Linked DNA regions of Xenopus tropicalis. The protein of the gene in region 1 interacts with the protein of each later gene in a biochemical or structural test. Links are inferred from orthologs where the notes say so. Each region holds a gene or a part of one and is shown on either strand. Other genes may lie near its edges. The genes, in order: cdc25a and ccne1.

Evidence for each region.
Region 2: the proteins of cdc25a (region 1) and ccne1 form a complex in vitro, tested with the Homo sapiens proteins (2 studies listed by BioGRID). The link is inferred for Xenopus tropicalis from reciprocal best matches to the Homo sapiens genes CDC25A and CCNE1.

Annotation. Positions count from the first base shown.
Region 1 is NC_030682.2:12,719,067-12,729,804, reverse strand, and holds the start of cdc25a (M-phase inducer phosphatase 1), read right to left. Parts: upstream 9,239-10,738; 5' UTR 8,913-9,238; intron 8,722-8,912; 5' UTR 8,684-8,721; coding exon 8,526-8,683; intron 6,853-8,525; coding exon 6,773-6,852; intron 6,648-6,772; coding exon 6,596-6,647; intron 6,210-6,595; coding exon 6,171-6,209; intron 5,658-6,170; coding exon 5,621-5,657; intron 5,362-5,620; coding exon 5,263-5,361; intron 4,791-5,262; coding exon 4,671-4,790; intron 3,570-4,670; coding exon 3,438-3,569; intron 3,331-3,437; coding exon 3,259-3,330; intron 3,164-3,258; coding exon 3,011-3,163; intron 2,908-3,010; coding exon 2,812-2,907; intron 2,187-2,811; coding exon 2,124-2,186; intron 2,034-2,123; coding exon 1,935-2,033; intron 1,772-1,934; coding exon 1,641-1,771; intron 1,061-1,640; coding exon 949-1,060; intron 844-948; coding exon 703-843; 3' UTR 1-702. UniProt on the Homo sapiens protein: Tyrosine protein phosphatase which functions as a dosage-dependent inducer of mitotic progression. Directly dephosphorylates CDK1 and stimulates its kinase activity. Also dephosphorylates CDK2 in complex with cyclin-E, in vitro.
Region 2 is NC_030680.2:71,331,010-71,342,418, forward strand, and holds the start of ccne1 (G1/S-specific cyclin-E1), read right to left. Parts: upstream 5,246-11,409; 5' UTR 5,193-5,245; intron 4,982-5,192; 5' UTR 4,943-4,981; coding exon 4,929-4,942; intron 4,832-4,928; coding exon 4,744-4,831; intron 4,647-4,743; coding exon 4,578-4,646; intron 3,706-4,577; coding exon 3,554-3,705; intron 2,242-3,553; coding exon 2,106-2,241; intron 599-2,105; coding exon 452-598; intron 370-451; coding exon 274-369; intron 1-273. Other genes in the region: uncharacterized protein LOC549154, read left to right, coding at 6,055-6,309, 10,359-10,434, 10,505-10,587. UniProt on the Homo sapiens protein: Essential for the control of the cell cycle at the G1/S (start) transition.

The DNA.
Region 1 (10,738 bases):
ACATTTCTCGTCGTGCAAATCCTTGATTAAAAAAGGAAAAAAAAAAAAATCTTCTCAAAATTGAGAAAAGAGAGTTAATACTTTTAAACAAAATCATAAAAACAGCAATAAATACTGGCAGTGGCCATTTAGATAAATTGAACCTAAATGTTAAAATGCCCCCAGAGGAGATCAAAGCCAGCCAATGGCAGAACTTGCTCTCAGTTTGAAACGGAAATGGAATCCAGAAAAAAAAGTTGCAGGAAGTCTGCACTTTGGCCAACTTGGTGCCTTGAGCAGGGAAACCAGTTCTGCCAATGAGAATGCATGATATGGAATGTAACAGGTGGATCCGGTAGCAGAGAAGCCTGAGCTACAAGCATTCTATGGCTTCACGTTGCACCTTTGGGATCATTGATTAATTTTATACTCCATTTTTTTCTCACCCAAACAAACCATTGTTAAAAAAAAAAAAATGTCCATTCAATAGGACAGTGCAGTAGACAGATTCCAGAACTCTCAGCAATGAGTGCTGTAAGGCAGAACTGAATATGGCACAACATATGCCTGTGTCAGATACACCTCCTGAGGAAGGTTCATGTGCAAAGAAAACAAAGCAGAACAAGAGCGCAGAAGAGAATGAGTTTCATGATATAGTTTTATCTCCGCGGCTCTATCGGCTGCTCTGTGATTGAAAAGGCAGGACTGTGCGGGCACGGAGGCTCATAGTTTCTTCAGCCGGCTGTACAGTTCTCTCTTGCTTCTCTCCCCTGCCCATGTCCGGCTCTTCATGCGGAACTTTCTTAGGTCTTCTTTAAAGTCCTCGTGGTTCATGGGGCGGTAGGTCTGCGGCGTACAGTAGGTCTGGTAAGGGGAGAGAAACAGACTTCTAAATCTGATTCTGGATAACAGGTCCTATGCCTGTACATACAAAAAGCACTCACATATGCCCATTGGCATGTTACTTACCTTGCACTTCTGAAAGAATTCTTTATATCCACCATGTAAAATATAAAGCTCTGGGTAGTATAACTGCGGATATTCATTTCTATCTCTGTCTTTCTCCCGTAGAAACTTGCACCTGTAACAGAGGTTTGAAAGAATAAGCCGGGCATCTGAAACTTATGGCAACACACAGGGTGCTTGGTCGCCCACATTAAAGCCTAGGAGAAAAAGGTGTTGTTACTGGCGCTTTAATGAGAGAAAGTGACCCATACAGGGCTTCTCTGCCCCCTAACTCAAGCTTCAGCCATGATCTTTGCATGGCAGTTCATTTTCTAAATTTCTTGTGCATTAAAAAAAAAATGCTATTTAGATTTGCACCCAATTATTAAAGGGCAACTACACTAGCAAAGGAACCATGAGCCATTAGCCACAGGATCCCAAGTACTAAAGCTTCAGTAGTGTGGCTGCTCTCATAGCTGTGCTTAGGGTATAACACGGGGTTTGGAAGCATTTTCCGTTGCACTGATTGATGCGCCAAGGAAAGCAGTGTGGGACGACAAAAAGCCAAACCCAGTGAGCTGTCATTACTTATATACCTGCTCTCAATACACCCTTCTCCAATATCACCAGAGGGTGCAGGACAGACACCAGTATATTAGACAGCTGAAGATGGAATTGGGGCACAGGAAAGCGCTCAGTGGGCTGTGTTTACTCACATTCTGGGTCCCCGCTCCGACGAGAACTCACAGTGGAAGATTAAGATAACTCGTTTGGAACCATTTGACATGACTGGATTCTTTAGGAAATATTCCTCAGCCTCCTGCTCCATGTGAAGGTTAATGGCTCCCTGCAGAAAAAGCAAAGCACTGTGGTCTAATATATACCCATCTACCAACAACCACTGTCAGCCTTTAGTCAACATTTCCAGAACTTTTCGCAGCCATTACTTAATCACATCACCACAAAAGGAACCATCTTCTCAACTACGAAACAGTACAAGTAAAACCTACCTGTATGTGACCTCCTTCATACTCGTAGGGGTATCTACAATCAATAATCACGCATCGCTCAATAAAGGGGTCAAATCTTCCATTTAGGATGAGAACCATCTGCAAAAGTATAACATTATTTGAGAATACTGAAATGGCAGGGGCGGGGGGGGGGGGGGGGGCAAAACACTGATGTACAGGAAAGCTCACCAGTTCAGGAGTGATGTACTTTAGTTCCTGGTGCCTGCCGCTCACTGTCGGGAACAGGAAGACCTAAAAACACAACACAGAGCCAAGTCAGCCATGTAACTCAAAAGGAAGTGCTTGGCAAATTGAAAAACCTCAGTGTCCTGCCAAAATGAGTGGCTCACCTTTAACCTCAGTTAACTGTGTATCCTATAGAATGGTCTATTCCTAGCAACTCTTCAAATGTTCTTTAAATTACAGTTTTTTTAATATGCTGCTTCTACCTTTTTCAGATGAAAAGGGGGGGGTGTCACGGACCCTATTAGATAAAAAGCTATTGCCCTGTGGGGCTAATGTTTTGTTGTTACTTTGACTTTTCTGCCCACCTCACCTATTTATTAAGATTTTTGTTTATACCACTGGCTGGCTGCTGGGGTAAAGTGGACTCTAGCAACAGAAAATAAAAGACAAAATGCAAATTGTTTCAGACTTTACCTGAATGCAACACACCCAAGGTTGAGTTAAAGGTGGATTTTTTTTTTTTTAAGCAGCTCAGGTACTAACACTAACATTATGAACCAATAAAACCCTGCATTAAACCTAAACAGTAGGTTGTGTGTAAGGTCAGTCTCAAAACCCTGAACAGTCCATAACTGCAATTAATTTCAAATTGGACACAACGTAACATCACATGGGGGAAAACATAAAATACCTTTGAAAAGTCCCCAATGAGACTGACTTGATCGTTGTCCAGCATACTTTCTATGTTCTGACTGGAAAGGGACTTTGATCGCATTAATCTTGAGTTCTATAAAACAAAAAGGAGGGAGAAGGGGGAAATGTTATTCTCAAACTTAAAGGGAAGGGGTAGAAAAACCCCAACAGCATGTTTGGTAGAGCCGAGAACTCACTTTGTCATGATCCAGCTCTTCCTTTGCAATTTCAGACACGCTCCTTCGCCTTTTGCTCTTTTCTGGCGCGTCTTCGTCCGGCGTTCGCTCCACTCGTTTCAGTGCTGGTTTTGTAGTGCAGTTTGGCTCAGAGGCAGGTCGGACCTCAAGACACTGAGGGGGATACAGAAGTGAGGAGTAGGATGAAGGAGATATGTGGCAGGAACCAGACTGGCAAAGAGTGTAAATCATACGACTGGAACACTTACATTTTCAGTGCTTTTCATGACAAGGGGAGCCGTCCATAGGCTTGCAACACCACAGGGAAACTCTGTATCGTTCTACAAACAGAAAAGAACATCTTAATATCCATGGCATGCTTTATAATAGCACCCACCTTGGGATCCAGATTTATTCATGTACATCGGTAAAAACAGCAACAGCTTACCTCTAGGTCCTCTCCGTCCAACATATCCAAGAAGCCATCATCACTTCCCTCAGTGGAAGTGGAAGCAGCTGAGGATTTTCTGACAAAGACCATATCAGAAGCTGCAACTTCACTTTTCCTAGGAGAGGACAGCTAAACAAACAAAGAAATTGATTTAGTGTAAAGGTTAAATAAAAATTAGCAAAAAGCAGGGCAGAGGGAATAGAAAAAAAAAAAAAAAGTAGGGTGTCGGGCAGTTTATGTACATGTGGTGCAAGAGATTGTAGTTTTCCTGTGTCCTGAGCAATACCTGTAGCAATCCTACTGCTCATGCTACCTCTATAAATGGAGCAGGCCGGACAGGCAATCTGTAGATTTTGGTAAATGAGAGCTGCTGTAAGATGCCATAGATACAGTGGTTTATCAGTAAGTGAAGCAGATCCCACAGTCGCGGGAGGCATGAACCGGAGTCGGCTTCCTCTATAGCACCGAAAGATTGTGCACCCACATCTGCCTGCATCAGGGGTGGGCAGGCTTCAGTATGTGCCAGGCCCCGCCAAAGATTTATTTTGGGCAGGGGAGTCCAGCAAGGTATTGTCACACCACTGCATAGACCAGGGGTCCCCAACCTTTCTTACTCGTGAGCCAGTCAAATGTAAAAAGACAGAGCAACACAAGCAGCATAAAAGTTCATGGAGGTGCCAAGATTGGCTATTAGGGGCCTCTATGCACACTATCAGCTTACAGGGGCTTGTTGGGGGATCACTGGCATAGACAGTGACTATGTTTTGGCCTTCTGGGGGGCTGTTTGGGTATGTGTACTTGAAATTCCAGAGCCTATTTTGCATCTCAGGCCAGACATGCTGGTATGGGTGATCACTTTAAAAAAAGCTGGAAGAAAAAGGACAGCCTCACAGTCCGATTACTGCAGGGAAAAGGGGGGGGAAGGAAAGCTCAGTTGGAGGGGGTGGGTAGAAACAAATGCAAACAGAGGTGGGGGAGGCAAATAGAATATGTAAAGGGTGGGATGAGAGGAAAAATAGGAGGGTGGAAAATAAATGTGAAATAGGAAACAGATTTAAAATAAGCAAAAAGACAGGGAAAATGGGAAAGGAGTAGCACAAGATTAACAGGAATAGAAGATCAGAAGTAGAAGGGAGAGAAGAAAGAAATGTGGAGATAAAAAACTGAGAAGAAAACACATCTGGAAAAAGGATAAGTGGGCTATGGAAGCACAAGAGATTAGACACATACCATACACGCAGGTGCAGATTTCTGTCTCTGAACGAGACTTTCCTTTCCATCCCCATGGAGTCTTGAGCGGAAACAGCCCCGGGAACGCGGTCTCGCTGGGATTTTAAACTGAAACTTTTCCTGCAAATGAAACCCACAGTGATTGTGTCACATTATTGTGGTGATTTAAGGAGCCCCCACTATTAACCTTACCTCGTATCAACCGACTTTATTTTGTTATTGATTTGTAAGCACAAAAATGACAAAACTAAAACACTGCATTTGCTGCAGCTAATCTAAATCAGACAAATTCAACTTGCAGTCCTCCTGCTAGGCCACAACTACCATGGGCCAGTGTATGGGCCCTTGTGGCACATAGTTCAAGATGCTACTGTGCCATTTACTACCTGCTTTGCAGCCTTTTAACACCTTAGCAGGCAGGGCAGGGTTTAATAGCAGTTGATTGATATCCAATGCTATATAAGAGCTTTAGAAATGATTCTATGTCCATTTAAATTTGCCAAATTGTTATTACACGGATCTGGGAATAATATTTAAATGTCTCAAATGCATTTTCTTTTCCTGAATGACTTGATAATAAACTAGTACTTACATTCTCCTTGTTCTCCAGGTCAGCTGCGTGGAACACTTCACATTCTAGAGAGTAAGAGAGATTCCTCTTAAAGGCAGGGCTGGATCCCAGTAGGTTTTGCTGAATGGAAAAAAGGAAGGGGGTTAAAGTACTGGTATGTTACCAGCTGCAATGTCCCCCTTACACACCGACTGTGCCATCACTGCTGTGGGACAAAAACAACTCATTCAGCAGCCGAAAAGGAATGAGCAGCTACAGTACAAGGTCAGTGTGTACAGCACTACTAACACTGGTATGTTACACAATTAATGCTACTGATGTCAACCATATCAATGTTTAGATGGTACCAGTATATGAGATAGTTTAATATAAAACTCACCGGCAGGGAGTTCCTCCTTTTGATTGGTAACCTTGTGCTAGAAAGACAAAAACACCATTTTGATATGTGAAAAGATCAATGGAGGATGAGCAAGAAAATCTCTACATTGTCAGAACTATGACACTTTTGGTGCAAGTTGTAAACTCCTAGTTATCTACAACCTCGGCATGTTCTGTTTGTGACCCCACTGGGGCAGGAATGGAGTGCGTCACTTAAGCAGGTCTTTTCACGGCATTCTACTCCCTTGCTCAGACAAAGCAGCATGCATACTGGCCTAGGGACACTGGCTGCCTGTGTAAGCTAGATTAGCCTGTAAGTGGGCAGACATTTGGTGGGCAGCCTGAGACAGTGGTCCCTCGGCTTCCTCAGGTTTGTGAATGATTACACAGAACTTACAGGAAAGGGGAAAGAAGTGGGTGGGGTCAGCAGCCAAAGAAAGGATACTCTTCCTGCAGCCATTTGTATTTCTACAGAAATTCTCTTTAAATTCAGCTTAGTTTAACCAGGGTACCATGATTCCCACTACTGTATCTTTAACAAACATACTTACTGTCCAAGCCTGTCAGAATTCTGAGTCGATTTCTGAAACCTAAGAGGGAGAATAAAGTGCATTTTAAATATGAGCGAAAAGCAGTTATGGCGACTTCTGGGGAGAGTCAAGCAATGTGCATTCATATAACACTGAGTTGGAGACTCTGGAATGGATATCATTTGCATAGTTACAGGTATTTGTTAATTAAGCTAAACAGCGTGTAAACCTTATGAATGCCTGAAATGTGTTTTACTGGAAACAGCTGAAAATGGAGAATCACTGCCCCTTTAAAGGGGAAGGTCCATTACACACCATAGCAATCCCCTTAAGTTTGCCAGGCAGGCTCGCTAAACTGTGCCACGGGCAAAACATTTCAGCCCTGAGAAAAGCATGGCTGCCAGTAGTTTGATTTGCACTGAAAAGGTGAAAGCACAGATACGTACGTTTCTTCCGTGTCATTTAGATCCATCTTGATTGGAGAATCCAGACAGAGTCCTGCAAACAAAATGGGAGTCAGGTAGTGAGAAGCAAGAAAGACCTCCATTTACAAGTCACTGTAACCAGATCCTTACAATACATCTGTATATACTGAAGCCATTTATGTTATGGCAAAGACATACCAGCGTCCATAGATTCCGAAGAGTCTGTTCTTCTCATAGACCAGCGCTCTCCGAGCTTACGTGTCGGCGTTTCACACTGGCTAAAATAGGAAGAAAAAAAAAAAAAAAAAAGACTTTAAGGACGTCCTATAACTATAGTGGTATATTAAAAACAAACAAAAAACACGATTTTGAATCTTTGCCACAGCAACCAGAAAACAAAAAAAACATGCTTACTACAAACATAGAGGTTTTGCACTTTAATCTGAGGCTCAGTCATTTCAGTTATCACCCCAATACTAAATACAATGGATTATTCCCTCAGCACCCACTACTGATATAGAAATTGCTTTACACAGACTTTCAGCACTTCTTAGATATCACCTAGATGGCAAATGCATATGATTTTTGGGGGGGGGGGGGGGGGGGGGATACAAAGCTTTGCCTTAATAACAGTGTTCACAAAATGGTGCCTCCCTGCTGGCTGTGACTAAGTTCCAACACGTATAATAAAAAAAATTATATAGTTTAAGTTTATTTTGCTCAACTAACATGATAGAAAAGGACTTGGAATTATTTATTACAGGTCCACTTTAATGGATAGCCTGTTCCTAGTGGGCCATATGCTGCAGGACAAGTAGCCAGTTAAATGGCTCTCAGTCTGAGCGGAACTCTGGCACACATGGAACAAGTGGGGGTAAAATGACCCTCAGTACCCTGAGAAGGTTGTCAATCTACCCCCACTGCTGGGCACCAGGGCCTTGTATAAAAGACTATGGGTTTGCGGATTAGTTGTGTGCAATATTTCAGTCTGAGGAGCTGGGAAAGGTTTCTCTGAAACGCGGGGAATAAAAGGAAATGCACCACCCTTGCTGACTGTTCCACTAGTAGATTTTAGCCCCTTTATAGCAATGATCGCCTCCTTCTGCTTTCAGCATTGCTGGGAACGAACATGCCCAGGTTTCATTCCTAGTAACCCACATGTGCAAGGAAAATGGCTGCCATTCCACATGTGACACCCTGTTGCTGTAAATACTTAGGGGCATAACTCCTAAGTGCCATGTTTATTTGCAGGATGTCCAACAAGCCAAATGACTGCATTGCATGGAGATCCAGGCTGTAAACACATGACTGCATTGCACAGAGATCCAGGCTGTAAACACATGACTGCATTGCACAGAGATCCAGGCTGTAAACACATGACTGCATTGCACAGAGATCCAGGCTGTAAAGACATACTTTGCTGAAGTCCCACAATCACTGTGCCCAGTCTCAACAAGCAAATACATCAAATCTGCAGACATAAGTCAGGCACCCACTATAGTTTGTAAAGCCACCATTAGAAGGAGGGGCTAAAACAAAAATACCATTAACAAGCCAAGGAGGGGGCAAATGGGTTTCTTAAAACAACCCCCCCCCCATAGCCTCTGACCCATTCATCCAAACCTGTGTCTCTAGGTGCCTAGGTTAAACTACATCTCCCTGCACAACATAACATGGGATAATGGAAGTAGTTCAGCAACAGCACCGCAGACTCAAGATTGAGTAGAATGGGCCCTTGCAATAAGCCAAGCCAGGGTCCCCAATCCAGGAGATATTGATATACATAGACCATCATACAGGTTGTTTTGGGCTACAACCCCCAGCACCCTTAGAAAGTCTATGGCTGAAGGTACATGTTGGACACCCTCAGCAGAACAGATGTGACCATGAAGCCTTTTCTGTCCAACCCAACAGTCAAACCACATAAGTAGTAATTCCTCATGGCCATTACCTGCCCAGGCCTGCCAGTTGGTCCATATTGATAGCGAGGCTAGTGACCGGAGATAGGGCAGTGTCTGCCTCGCAAGAGAACAGGGACTTAACCACGGGGAGGCCAGAGAGGCGGTTGGATCCTCTGACATGAGCCGGAGCTGAACGACACCTCTCCATCTTCACACTGAAAATGATGCGGCCGGGCACAGCAACCTCTGCAACGAGAAGAAAGTACATAAGGCATAATGGTAGAGAGGGGCGGGTTCACTAAGCTAGCGAGTCATTAGCGCTAAATCTATAGTTTCTAGGGCCATGCGGGCGGGTAATTATTGCGAAGTATAAGCAGACACAAGCAACTCCGCTATATTGTTCCTGTAATGTAAATATATATACATAAAAAACATACAGGGAATTGTAGTGCTCCAAAATCTGGCCTCCGAATCGTAAAAAGGTGATAGCGGCAAAATGAAGGCCCGAGTACCTCTTAGTTGTCCTGCAGCAGCGGAGGTGGGAAGGCCTACCACACGCTACCGACTCCCCGTTAGTTCCGCAGGCTTAGCGTCACCGCTTAGCTTCCGATCAACCACGGAACTAGCCCGATCCACGTCAATCTAATAGACCCTTCCACTTCACGGGCTTAGATTTGGCGCCATGACGGTACAGCGAATGAGGAGCGAGCGTGACAGGTCTCTGGGCCAATCCGCGCCAGCACAGCTGCAGGCTGTAAACCAATCCCGAAGCTGACTGTGGCGCCCTTATTCTCGCGTATCTAGTTCGCATGACTGACAGCACACCCATCCAATGGCAACTCCGAACACGCACAAGCTGAACGATGAATCGATAGTGGCTGCTGGGCGGGAGAAAATGCTGCCAATCGGAGGAGCGTAGACATGGCCAGCGCCGTGAGGCGCGAAAAAAGTGAAAAGTCGTGTTAGTTCCTGTTAGTGACAGGAACTGAGAGTTCTGCGTCATGTAGGGCTGTCTCGCCAAAATGTATGATTTATATGAAGTTTTATGGCAACTGTATCAATAATTTAACTCATTCATTTAGAAATAATTCAGTAACAGTACTAATATTGCGGCAAGGTCGTTTAGAGGTTATGTACATACCTGGGAGCTGTCCCTTATCAGGGCTAGTATAAGGGCAAGAGCAGTTGCAATAGATCTGTGCTATGGCAGGACACTAACTGCTCTGAAAAGGTTTTCCACTGGCAACAATGGGAGTCGCTGATGGAAAGCCTTTCACATCACTTTGTTGTGCGAAGTTGCTTGTGGGAGGAAACTGCGGCTTCAGATTACCGAAATGATGCCAATGGCTTTCCACCGGGCTCCGATTGTTGCCAGTGGAAAGCCTTTTCGCAGAGGTTAGTTGCCCGCAATAGCAGAGATTTATCGCGGGTGACTCGGCTGCTCCGTGGGACATCAGCATATGGGTGAAGACACACGGAGCTACTAGTAGCAGCTACTAAAACAGACAATGCTGATCATTTACTGATAATTGTCTTTACATGTGTTTTAGCAGAGGCAATTCTCAGTATTGTCTATGGTAGGGTGTTTAGTAGCTCTGTGTGTCTTCACCCTAAAGGTCCCCATACACGGGCCGATAGAAGCTGCCGATATGGGTCCCTTGGACCGATTCAGCAGCTAATCGGCCCGTGTATGGGCAGAAATGAGCAGCCTGGCCGACCGATATCTGGCCTGAAATTGGCCAGATATCGATCGGGCAGGTTAGAAAATCCAGTCGGATTGGGGACCGCATTGGCTCGTTGATGCGGTCCCCGAACCGACTGCCCATGGCCGCAAATGTAATCCGATACTTATTTCCCCACAAAGCCATTCCACTGGGTAGAATGTAAATCGCCGGTGGGATGGTATATGCATCAATACGATTTGCCCAAGTTTCCTCTCAAGGCAACTTGGGCAAATCGTATCGATGCATGTGCCATCCCACCAGCGATTTACATTCTAGCCAGTGGGATGGCTTTGTGGGGAGATTAGTAGCCCGTGACAATGGAGATTTGTTGCAGCGCAACTAATCTCCCCATGTACCCCTGTCCTTAGGGTCATATGCCCAAGGCCCAAATGGCAATAGGTGCCCCTGGAGGAGGAATAACTAAAAGATTACATTGTGTAAAAGTTAACGATATCTGCCCTTTTAATATCGTCATCAAACATTTTTATTTGGCTGGCCGATAATATACTGGCCCGTGGCAACCCTGCTTTGAACTTTAT
Region 2 (11,409 bases), on another chromosome or scaffold:
ACTTGTTTTAAGGATATTACATCACAGTTGAATCAGCCTATAGTGTTTTTTTTCCACTTTTGAGTGTGACTCCAAATCCAGACCTCCATGGGTTGATAAATTTGATTTCCATTGATAATATATGTGCGATTTTATTGTCAGCACATTCAACTATGTAAAGAGTGAAGTATTTAATAAAAATATTTCATTCATTCAGATCTAGGATGTCTTCTTTTTGTGTTCCCTTTATTTTTTTTGAGCAATGTATTATTCCTAAAACCCATAAGGCTTTACCTTCATTATTATCAGCTCCATACTTGTAATCTCATCTTCTGTACAGGCGCCATCTGTGATAAATGCAAACTGATGCAGCTTTGGAGGGTATATTTCCTGCAATAAAGTAAAGAACTCACTTTATGGTAAGTTGACCATTATAGCTCTACCCAAAAAGAAAGTAAAAAACTTTACCAACCTCCAGCTTAGCAGCAATGAACAAAGATGTGATTCCAATAAGTTGCAGTCTACTTTTAATTACATTTTTTTGAGTTGCCATAAACCGATCAAAGAAATCTTGTCCTAGGTAAAATGTTTCTCTGTGAAGTTTGTACACTTCACAAACCTGAGGGGGGGAGAATACAATTAATATTTTATATATGCAAAACAGCTGCACTTGCTTTTAAATTTAAAAATGCCAGAGTATATGAAATAAAAAAAATGTGCAAGTCCTGCAAGTGCTTGTGGGAGTATAAATTTACATTATAAGGCTTATTCAGAAATGACTGCAAAACTTTACACTGAAGATTAATATTTCAGCCAGACAATTCCTAATTGAACACTTCACAGTATTAAGTGCTTTTACCTCATTTGTGTCTAATTTTGGTACTGTATGATGTGGCCATATGCCTCTAGAGGTAGCACTACCAGAAAAAAAAATGGCACTATTAAGTTAAGGAAGTGCTTCCAAAAAGACTACTGGTGTATCTAGTACCTCTTCCCTTGCCAGCTCTCCAGGGTGTGTTTTTTTCAAAGAAAGTAATGCCGTGGCAAAAAGATAACCTATGACATCTTTTCCTTGAAGGAAAACCTCCACCTGCAGAGACCATCTCAAAATTTACCAGTTCAAGCTGTAGGGGCAGTCATCAGTGCCTCTCAGTACCCCCAAACCAGGTAGTTATTTTTGAATTCCTGATTTGGTGGCAAGTTTTGGTTGAATAAAAAAAAAAAAAAAAAAAAAAAAAAAAAAAAGATTTACTACCAAATAAAGCCTCCTGTAGGCTGATAGTGTGCATAGAGGCTACCCAATAGCCAATCTTAGCCCTTATTTGGCAACTTTTATGATGCTTGTGTTGCTCTCCAAGTCTTTTTACATTTGACTGTGGCTCATGAGTAAGAAATGTTGGGGACCCCTGCTGTAGGGTATTGTTTGGGTCATTCATCCTGCTGTGACTTTGAAGCCGCCCTTCATTTTATTTCACTCAATTTTTAGTCTTGCCAGCAAGCTCCAGTTATTTAGGAATGGATTTAAAATTTTGAAATGCACAGTTATACACAATCACTGTACATATGCTAAACCCTCTTATCCAAGAATACCAGCTAAACAGTACTGCTGTGAAAGAACTGTTTGGTTGGTATTCTTTGGCTGGGTTTTGCGTATGTGCAGTGATTGTGTATAACTGTGCATATTTTTTAACTGGCAAAGTTTGCCATGGAGCAGTAACCCATAGCAAACAAGAGGTTTGCTTTTAAACAGGTGACCAGTTGATGCTACCTACTGATTGACTGCTATAGGTGATTAGGTGTAGCAAGTGTTGTACCCCATATTACATAATCTTTGGTGTATTATATCAACTAGACTAATCTAAAATACAATCCCAAGCAGATCATTCTGGAATCAATCAAGATCTCCACTCCAGCTTTCATGATTAGAGGAAGAGGAATATTCAGAAATTCTCACCACCTTACAAGGTCTTATCACATTGTCACTGCAGGACCTTTGCACTCTACTCCAATAAGCAGCGCCATTTAAATCAATGGTCTTGCTTAAACTATTGAAGGTGACTTTTTCAAGTAAGGTAGAGTTTTGAAGGCTAGTTAAAAAAAGGGAAAAAGGAAAAAACAGTACTCACTTCCATAAGCCAATCAAGGAGAATAGCCCTCATATTAGGTTGCAACTGAGGGTGTTTTTGAAAAAAATTCTTGTCCCTCAGGTAAGTTCGGTCTTTGTTCAACATGTTTCTCCAGACATCATCTTGATTCGCCCATCTGCAAAGTAAGATTGTACTTAATACAGAGCTAGAACATCTGAATTGTATGATTAAGAACAGTCATTAAAAGCAGAGGACATAAAAAACATGTTATAATGTAGAAAGTTGTATCCTTGGACCATTGCCAATGAACTCCCCCCCCCCCCCCCCCCCCAACCACTTTTCTTGCCATTTTTTTTTTTTTAAATATAAAAGGCAATTTATTTAAAACCAGAAAAAAAATTCTGATTTGTCTCAAGAGATCAAAATCCCAGGTTAATATTCCTAAAATGAATAGACCCCCATTATTATAAATTTAGAAGTAATTTTTTTTTTCTCATTTTGGTGAGATTAATGACTAAGTGCACAAGACTGATGGAAAGAATATGCACGGTTTTAAGATACATTTAGGGCCTTTCCTGGTCCTTTATCATGTCTCTTATGAGAAACAGTCACCTTACAATGTATTCACAGCACACAAGTCATTAAGGGAAGTTTACAAGTGCTTAAAATAACTTCCATATAAACATTATAGAAATGATATTGACTGACAGAAGCTTGATAAAGCGTACCCCTTCCTGCTGTTGGCCTTTAACAAGCAGGTGCCAGCCAGCCAGGCTTTTAGTTTTCAGAGATCAGTTCTGATCAAATCGTATCAGAGGGCAATTTCTCAAAATACAAAACCAATGGCCAACACATGTATCAACTGGATGACTAAGGACAGTAAGCCCCCAGGTCATATTACATGCAACTATGATGCAGAATCTTTACTTGGAAAAAGTCTGATACCTGCTGTGACATAGATAAGGTCTTCTTTATTCTCCAGTAATAAGATTCACTGTAATGAATGCTGTTTGCATCACACAGGAACAGGCCAGTCATTTCTTTAAATGAAAAACTTGCAGCATTCTTATTATGGGACACTAATAGCCAAAACTGTAAATGCTATGGGACAAAGGATGGGTTTGGTTCTGACAAAAAAAGCTGTTGTACGTGGATAAACAATAGCCGACTGATGCTACCAGCCCCAAAATATTTGCTAGCTCTAGTTTCATAAGGGGTAGTAAAAATACAGTTTATAATTCTGCAAACCAACACCAGAATCAATGCATCACAGAAATGTCTGCCACAGGAAACTATTTATAGTGAATATAAGTACTAGCAAAGACACCTGGGCCATGTAAATGTCCTTCCTTATACTGTATTGTAGATCGCAACTACTATTGCCAAACTGCCCTTGTACTAAATGTCTGTCTGAAAAGTAAAGTGTTACAGATTCAATTGTGCTATAACACCACCAACGGAACAGTCAAGTTACACAAGGCATGTACCCAAGACGTGGAAGAGGAGAAACGCTGACTGGACTGAACCGGAGAGAAGCAAAGTGCGGGTAGCTGGTAGGGTTTTGTTCGTGTTCCTCTTTTTCAGGTGTAGGGATCAATTTGTGGGGGCTTTTGCATATCATTTCATTGCTCCATGGTCCCTAATGATAGAACAAGAAGTGTATAAAGGCAGAAAAACTACCAGACTATTATGATTAACACAACAAATAAACAGTAATGCATGTCTTTTAAATAACTCTTTATTGATGTACTGGGATATAATTACATTTTCAGATGAAATTTGTCAAATAAAGTACAAAAGTATTCCAAAGCTAAAAAATCAGAGTCACTGGTTATTTGGTTAAACAACAATTACCAAGAAGTGGTACACAAAAACAAACTATAGATACATTTAAATTGAAAGATACCACCTTAGATTATTTAATGCCCTTTAATAGCTGACAAATTCTAAATTCTTCCTATGTAGTGAAAGCCACAAACCGAGAAGCTGTAATTATGTTTAAAAAAAAAAAAAAATGCAATATGTAGTTTATAAAAAAAAAAAAAAAAATGCAGAATCATGCACATCTATTATGCAAAGCAAGGCAACTGTATGAAACCAAAACCTGGCAAAAAAAAAAAAAAAAAAGACTTCAAATGTCCTGAACTCTTATGAAACTTCTAGGGCTGATTGTGTATTTAATAAATGCCTAAGTTTAGACTTTAGGGCTGTATGTATTAAATGTGACATTAACAAAAAGCTTGATTTTACTGCATCTTACTCTTAAATGGCTTTTACATAAAACAGATTATAAGTCAACTTAGTCACCAACTAGAGTTTAATGATGAAATCATAGCTTGATCTTTATCAGTTGTACTAAACAACTAGATGTCTATGACTTCTTCCCTCATTAGTACTGAATAGGGGGCCTATGCAATAATATCAGTTTGTTAGCAACAGTGATGATACACAAATTTATGAGAGAGAATAATATGAAAAGCAGCAAGTGGTAAAGGCCCTTATGTTAATTACCCTGTCTTGATATTGTTTTTTCTTTGTCATTTCCAAGCAATCCAAGGTCTCATCTGGATCTTGCAAGTACTAAAAAGGAATAGAAGAAACAAGTTGAGAATGCCAGAGCAGAGTTAGTCACACACACAGTGTCCAAAACTGCACATGGCCCTTTGTATGAACTTACAATAGCCACATCTGCCTTTCTCTTTCTGGAGCGCACAGAACAGCTTGCCCTCTCCTCTCCCTTTGTGCCTTTTTCAACTGGAGGATTGCTAGAAAAAGAATATTATTAGAAATAATAATATCAGGGAATGTAAAGTTTCACCTCTCTGACATGTGCTGGTAGGTTAGCCATCTTTGTACACTTACCTTATCACGGGCATTTCAGGACTTTTTTTGAATGAAGGTTAACCTTTCTTACCCTGAAATTCAAGAAAGTGAAGGTTAAATTTAAGGCAAAACCCGGATTTAATTGAGAAAATGTTAGTAATGTGTTCCCCTGCCCCCACTAATGCTTTGGCGCCGGGAAGAAGGTGGAGGAAGGGAGGGTGGAGATGCAAAACAAGGCCTGAGACTTCCCTGCTTGTTACTGTAGATAATGTATAGCAGCACCCACAAAGTGTCACCCCGTACCCCGAGATCTTGTGCATGCAGCAGTCACAGCCAAGTGAAAGTAGGCTGAGAAGATGGCCGCACAACTTGTACTTAGTGGGGGGAAGGGACTAGACGTGCTTCCATCCCCCCCTAAGTCTTAAAAGAAGCAATTATAGTCGATTAATACACTCACAACAGTATCCCTCATTACAATACCTTCCGTAGACACAATATTTAACCCCTTTTGTACAGGCTATGAACTTTTGCAAAGCCGTAAAGCACGGATGTCCAACATGCAGCCCTCCGGCTGCTGCTTTAAAGTTGAACCCCTGAAACTTTGCCTGCCCAGAATCTTGTTGGGCAATCGGGAAAAGCGTGAAATGGACGTGTCCGTTGTGGGCCTTTAGGTGCATCGGTAAGTAGGTCAGAGACTTACCCACACACTGGATCCAATGGCGAAATGCTCGAAGATGGACAGAAGCAGATGGGAAGAGGCGAAGGCTAAAAGTTCTGTATGGGACAAGAGTATAAATATATAGCAGCGAGGGATGAATAGCAGGATATTGGGGAGACTTTGGCAATAACTTAGCCGTAAGTTAGGTGCATAAATAGATATATATTAGGTTCTTGTTGGGTAAAAGGAATAAATAGGACTAGCAATATACAGCTCGTTGCTGTAAGGCGACTTTGTGCTGTGCTTGGGGGTCTGTACAATGTGCAGCGAGATAACAGGGAGAGGGGGCCTGGGTGCACGCCGAGCCTGCAGCTGCTCCTGGCTCCGGATGGCCGCACTGAGCTGGCGGGTTCAGCCTTTATATGACAAGCGGCGGCACATTCAAACTGCAGCAGGCGCGCTAGCTTCCCTCTTTCGCCAACATCACCCCCAGGCTGCCACTTGGAAATGACCTCGTCTCCCCTCAAACTGAGGCCAAGTAAAAAGTTACAGATGCAGACCAAAGCCGGCCTCCCCACCACCTCCCGGGCCGGTTATAAACACAAGCAGTGCAGACACCGGCAAGAGGGGGCGGGGAGAAGCAAGTTTGGGGGCGTGTGGAAAGAACTAAGGGGCGGGCATCCGGAAGTCGGAAGAGCCACGTGGTTTGCTGAAGCTGGATGTAAACAAGAGGTTCCTGGGAACTGGGGGGACCGGCTTTTGGTAAGAAAACCTCTATTTTGAAACGTTATGGGTTTCTTTAGCGGACTAGCTGTGTTTGAATATCTCTTCTACGCAATTCCTCTGCTGAATCCCACACGCCGCTTATATTTATTGCCCTAATAATATCGCGATGCCTTTTAATAAGGACATTCTAAAGTCATGCATGTTTGTTAGATGTCCACTGTCCGACATAATGCTCGCATGTGATGTTATTAGTGTGCTCAGTTAAACTGAGGTTCTTTCTGTAGGTTATTCTGTGGCATGTCCAGGTGCCTTTGTTATCTGACAGCTTCATTACAGGAGTTTAGTATTGTTCTTGTTGTCAGTTACCCTCTCCCTTTCATTCCATCTAGAAAGGGCATCTGTTATGTATTATATACACTGCATTATATGTTGTTTAGCAGTCGGGGGAAGGTATGTGGGTATACAAACTACATTTTACAGATTATTACATTAGCCATATAATAAGGTTCTATGTGAGACGTGAGCATAATGGAGCCAGTGTCCCATGTGCAGCAGCTACTAAGCAGCAGTTACTCATTTTTTTAATGCAAGGCTACCTAATTGATGTATACTTGCAGTACCTTTTATTATTACCCTTATGAGAAATGCAAAAAATAAGCCTCAGACTTACGGCAAACACAAAGACTTATTTAAAACAAAATAAAGGTGACCAGGCCATTGAAGATGTTTTAATAGTCTATGGACAGATTATTTTCTTTTTTTTTTCTTTTTTAAAGCAATGACAAAGCAAATAGTATACAAACCCCTCAAAAAAACATAACAGCGCTGTATTCTGTTTGCTCTTCTGCAGTGGTATTAGGATGGGTTGTAATGAATCCATTGCAATGGAGTTGACATACTTGTTGATACGTGACCGCATATGATAGTAGAAATGAAGCACCACAGGTGTGTGTGTATATATTCAGTTTTAGCAGACACCTACAAAACAGTAAACACTGGAGTTACTGCACAGTCTGGTTCTGTTTAGTCTGTCAGGGTTGACATCAACAAAGTAAAAAGAACAGAAGCAGAAAAAAGGTTCTCTAAACTGCCATTTTGTCTGACACATTATTTTGTCACTGTAGTTTCTGGTAGGAATCATAATGGGACGCTCATTTATAAATCTCTTGAGTGGTGCAAGTTGCAAACTTGGCCATGCTATTTAGAGCTTTGACCTTCTTGCACCAACCACACCAAAGTTAATATGCCAACAAAACTACAGTGCAAAGTTAAAGGACATTGAAGAAATTTACTGGGAGTGATAATATGTTAGACATCAGGGCAGGCACTCCTCTTTGGTAGAAAATGCACCAGCCCAGTGAATAAACTAAGCAACTAAATTCACTGTGACCTGAGTAACTTATTGCTGCTCTAAATTTAGCTTTTCTTCAATGAAGTTTTGATGTTTAATTCACAGCAACAACAACTCATGAATGTTGTGCAAAATGCCTGCTAGACAAAATCTGCAGCTATTATATTGAAATACATTTAGCTACTAGGCATTTGTGAAGACCAGTAGCAAATGCATTTAGTGATTTCCCCTTGCATGAGCAGCATAGCAGAATAGAATACAACTGGAAAGCATGTTGGAGAATGCCCACAGAGATGCAAATGCATTTTTTGTTGAGATTCTGGGCCAGCATTGATGCTGTACTAATTTGAAGTGCATGCATTGGACCCTGGAGTTCAGGGTTCAGACAAAGAACAATGGGTAAAAACTTTGATGATTGCGCCAATTTAGCATCTTGCCAGAGTTTATTATTGACACATTGGATGTGTATTTCTGCATATATCATTGGCTGCTTGGATTTGAACAGATCTTAAATACACAGACTCCAGAGAGATTGGTATTACACATACTACCAAAATGTTGTGTTTCACTGTGTGCAAGCGCAGAAAAGCTGCACCTGTTTGCCTTTGTATAACATAAAGGAACCGTAACAACAAAAAATTAAAGTTTTAAAGTAATTAAAATATAATGTACTGTTGCCCTGCACTGGTAAAACTGATCTGTTTACTTCAGAAACACTAATATAGTTTATGTTAGCAAGCTGCTGTGTAGCAATGGAGGCAATTCAAGGGCTAAATGGCACAGATTAGCTCTGTTGAACACCATAATTTTCTACATATCTTATTTGCTATGTAACCTGTCCCTTTTCTCCTTTCAGTGGCTGCCCCTTTGGCGACACAGCAGCTTATAAACTATAGCAGTTTTTCGGAAGCAAACACACCAGTTTTACAAGTGCAGTATATTATAATATATTATATTTTAATTACTTTAAAATACTTTAATTTGTTATTGTTACTGTTCCTTTCAGTGCATCGTGGCATACTGTTATCACACTGGCAAGTAGACTGCTGGGCAACACTGGGACTCTTCCGGATCTGGCTCAATCAAGTAAATGGTCAACACAACATCAATGCATGCTGTGGCCTTTTGTAACTAAATGTGCAATTTGGAACTTTCCATAGGCACTATTTACATCAGTCAACAATTATGTTAGTGCATTTAAACTGGAATGTACACTTTAATCACATATTTATTTTGTAAGTGCAGGTGGGACTGTGTCACCTGTCAATAAAACAATGAGTTTGTCATAATCCTATGTTGATTTTTTTTTTTAATTGACATTTTCTAAAATAGTTTACTTGCCCTGTGGCTCAGTAAGGTGATATCTAAATCAGTAATAACAAACTGGCTGAACATATGTGTGTATGCATGTAGAAACAGGCAATGCTAAAGTGCACAGTTGCACATAATATTGCATTTTCATGCCTGTGAAGAAAAATCATTAGTAATTAAACGCCCACCTTTAAAAAAAAAAAAAAAAGTCCTACCACTGTGGTAGAGCTTTGGTAAATAAACCTTTTTCAAAATATAATGCATTAAAGGACAATGAAAGGTTAATATAAATTAAAAGTAAGTCTAAAGTCTAAATTCTTTTTAAGTACTTACTGCATATCTAAATTCCCAGATCCCTGCTTGCTTCTCTGAGATATGGTGCTGGCAGCCTACAGCAGTGTGAAGACTACAGTGACATCACTGAAATCGCTCTGTCCTTCCTGTAGGTGCCAGCGGCAGCCTTCCTATTCTCTGAGCATGTGTGTAACTTGATCCTGTCTCCTGTTCTGAGCTACACATGCCCACCAGCCAATCAGAAGCGGATCTGGCAGAGGGGAGGGGAGGGGGGGAGGGAATGAAACACATGTGCAGTATGAAGCAAGGAGGGAAAGGAAGGGAAAATACCTTTTTAGAGATGGCTGCCTGTTCTAGAAAATGTGAAGTAAGTGTGACTGAGTAAATATTTGATTAGGTGAGCCAAAAGTGTGGCGTTTTTACTAAACAATTGGGCAGTGTGGGCAGTGTGCTTTTTAAATTTTGACTTGCATTCTCCTTTAACAAAAATGGCTATTTTACTTAAATCTGATTACTCTGTTTTTGAATTTATGCTATCTCCTTGGAAGGATGGGGTTGCTGGTCACTTCCTCTACTACAAAGGTCTAGAATTTGTCAGTGTGGAGTGAGAATCAGCACAGTGGTGCTCAATTATTAACAGTGGGTAAATTTGCCCAGTTTGTCCTATTTTGTAAACTAGGTACTGGTGCACATTTTTAAACGCTAGGCAAATTTGCACCTGGGCAGTAACCCATACCAACCAATCAACAATTGAGTTGGTATAGGTTAGAAGCATGTTTGCAATAATTAATTAGATATACACCTGCCACCTTAATGGCCAAATGATCGACAGGCATAGGAGCCTTTGGACAGAGGGTTGCACTAATGATCCGATGCGGGAAAATGAAACCTGCCCAATCAACACCTGGCCAGTTTTCGGCCAGATATCGTTTGGAGAGGCCCATCAGGGCTCTTATCAGGGGACCTTGTATGGCTACCTTTAGAGTGAGTCAAGCTTTGGGAACACTGATGGGGAAAAGTAACTGGTTTAAACAGGTTATAAAATCTATAAGTTTGTTATTTTAATTGTAAAAAAGCAATGAAGAAGTGGATAATGTGTTTTTTTAACAAAGAATGTTTATATTTGTAGACCATGAAGTTCTTACAACTCTTTGGAACGGTCAAGCCTATTGTAATAGGCATGGTGCACGTAAAGGCTTTGCCTGGTAAGTAGATTCTTTAGAATAAATTAAGGCCCTGCATATTTCTAATGACGCTTTTCTCATTTAAAATTAGGTACTCCAGGCAGCAGATTGCCAGTGGCACAAATCATAGAAGAAGCCTGTCATGAAGCTGAGATTTATAAAAATGCTGGAATAGTAAGGTTTTGTTTTCTTGCTGTCCTAAATGTTCTGCCCACAGCAGAATTATACTTCAGTTACTGTAAAATGTTTTTAAAGTTATTTTTTTCTGTTGACTCCCTTAGTCCTCGCAAAAATAGGGTCCACTTCAGTGAGACAGATCTCAGTTTTAGAAACCGTTCTGCTGCATTTTCACTTATTATTTTTTTTTAATACGTATTGTTAAGTGTCATTTACACACAGTGGCCACAGTCTCATTGCACCCCCGCCTAATGGTTTAAAATTTAGTGGTGAGTACAACTTCCCATTTCTTGCTATAGTTTATACAGGAGCAGTGGCCAGCTACATGTTGTAGCTCCCACCCTTCCCAGCTACAGTCAGGTGATCCCAATGGGCCAATAAAGGGGAACCATTTTGGGGTTTAAACCTTGAAAGCAAGTGAGTTGCAGGTAAAACTCAGTCCTTTGTAAAATGTATAATGAAGCAGTAGAATTCTTAATGAATCGGTTAAAAGTGAGTGTAGGACTGGCCAGACCGGGGAAGACTTTGACATAGTTGGGCAGCTTGAAGTATTCAAACAATCATCCCTGTTTTGCTTAAAGGAAATGTAACACTATTTTTTTTTTAAGTAAAAAAGCTATTCTACCCTGAACCAAACTGCCCTATCCTGCAAACCACTTAGTATTTTAAATGGGGTCACAGCCTCATTGCACTCCCACCTAATAGTTTAAATTTAGTGGTGAGCAGAACTTCCCCCTTCTTACTCACAGTGGAACACTGAAAACAACTGGTTTGTGTCCAGGACTTTTGATACCTGTGACTTTAAAAGATCATATGAAT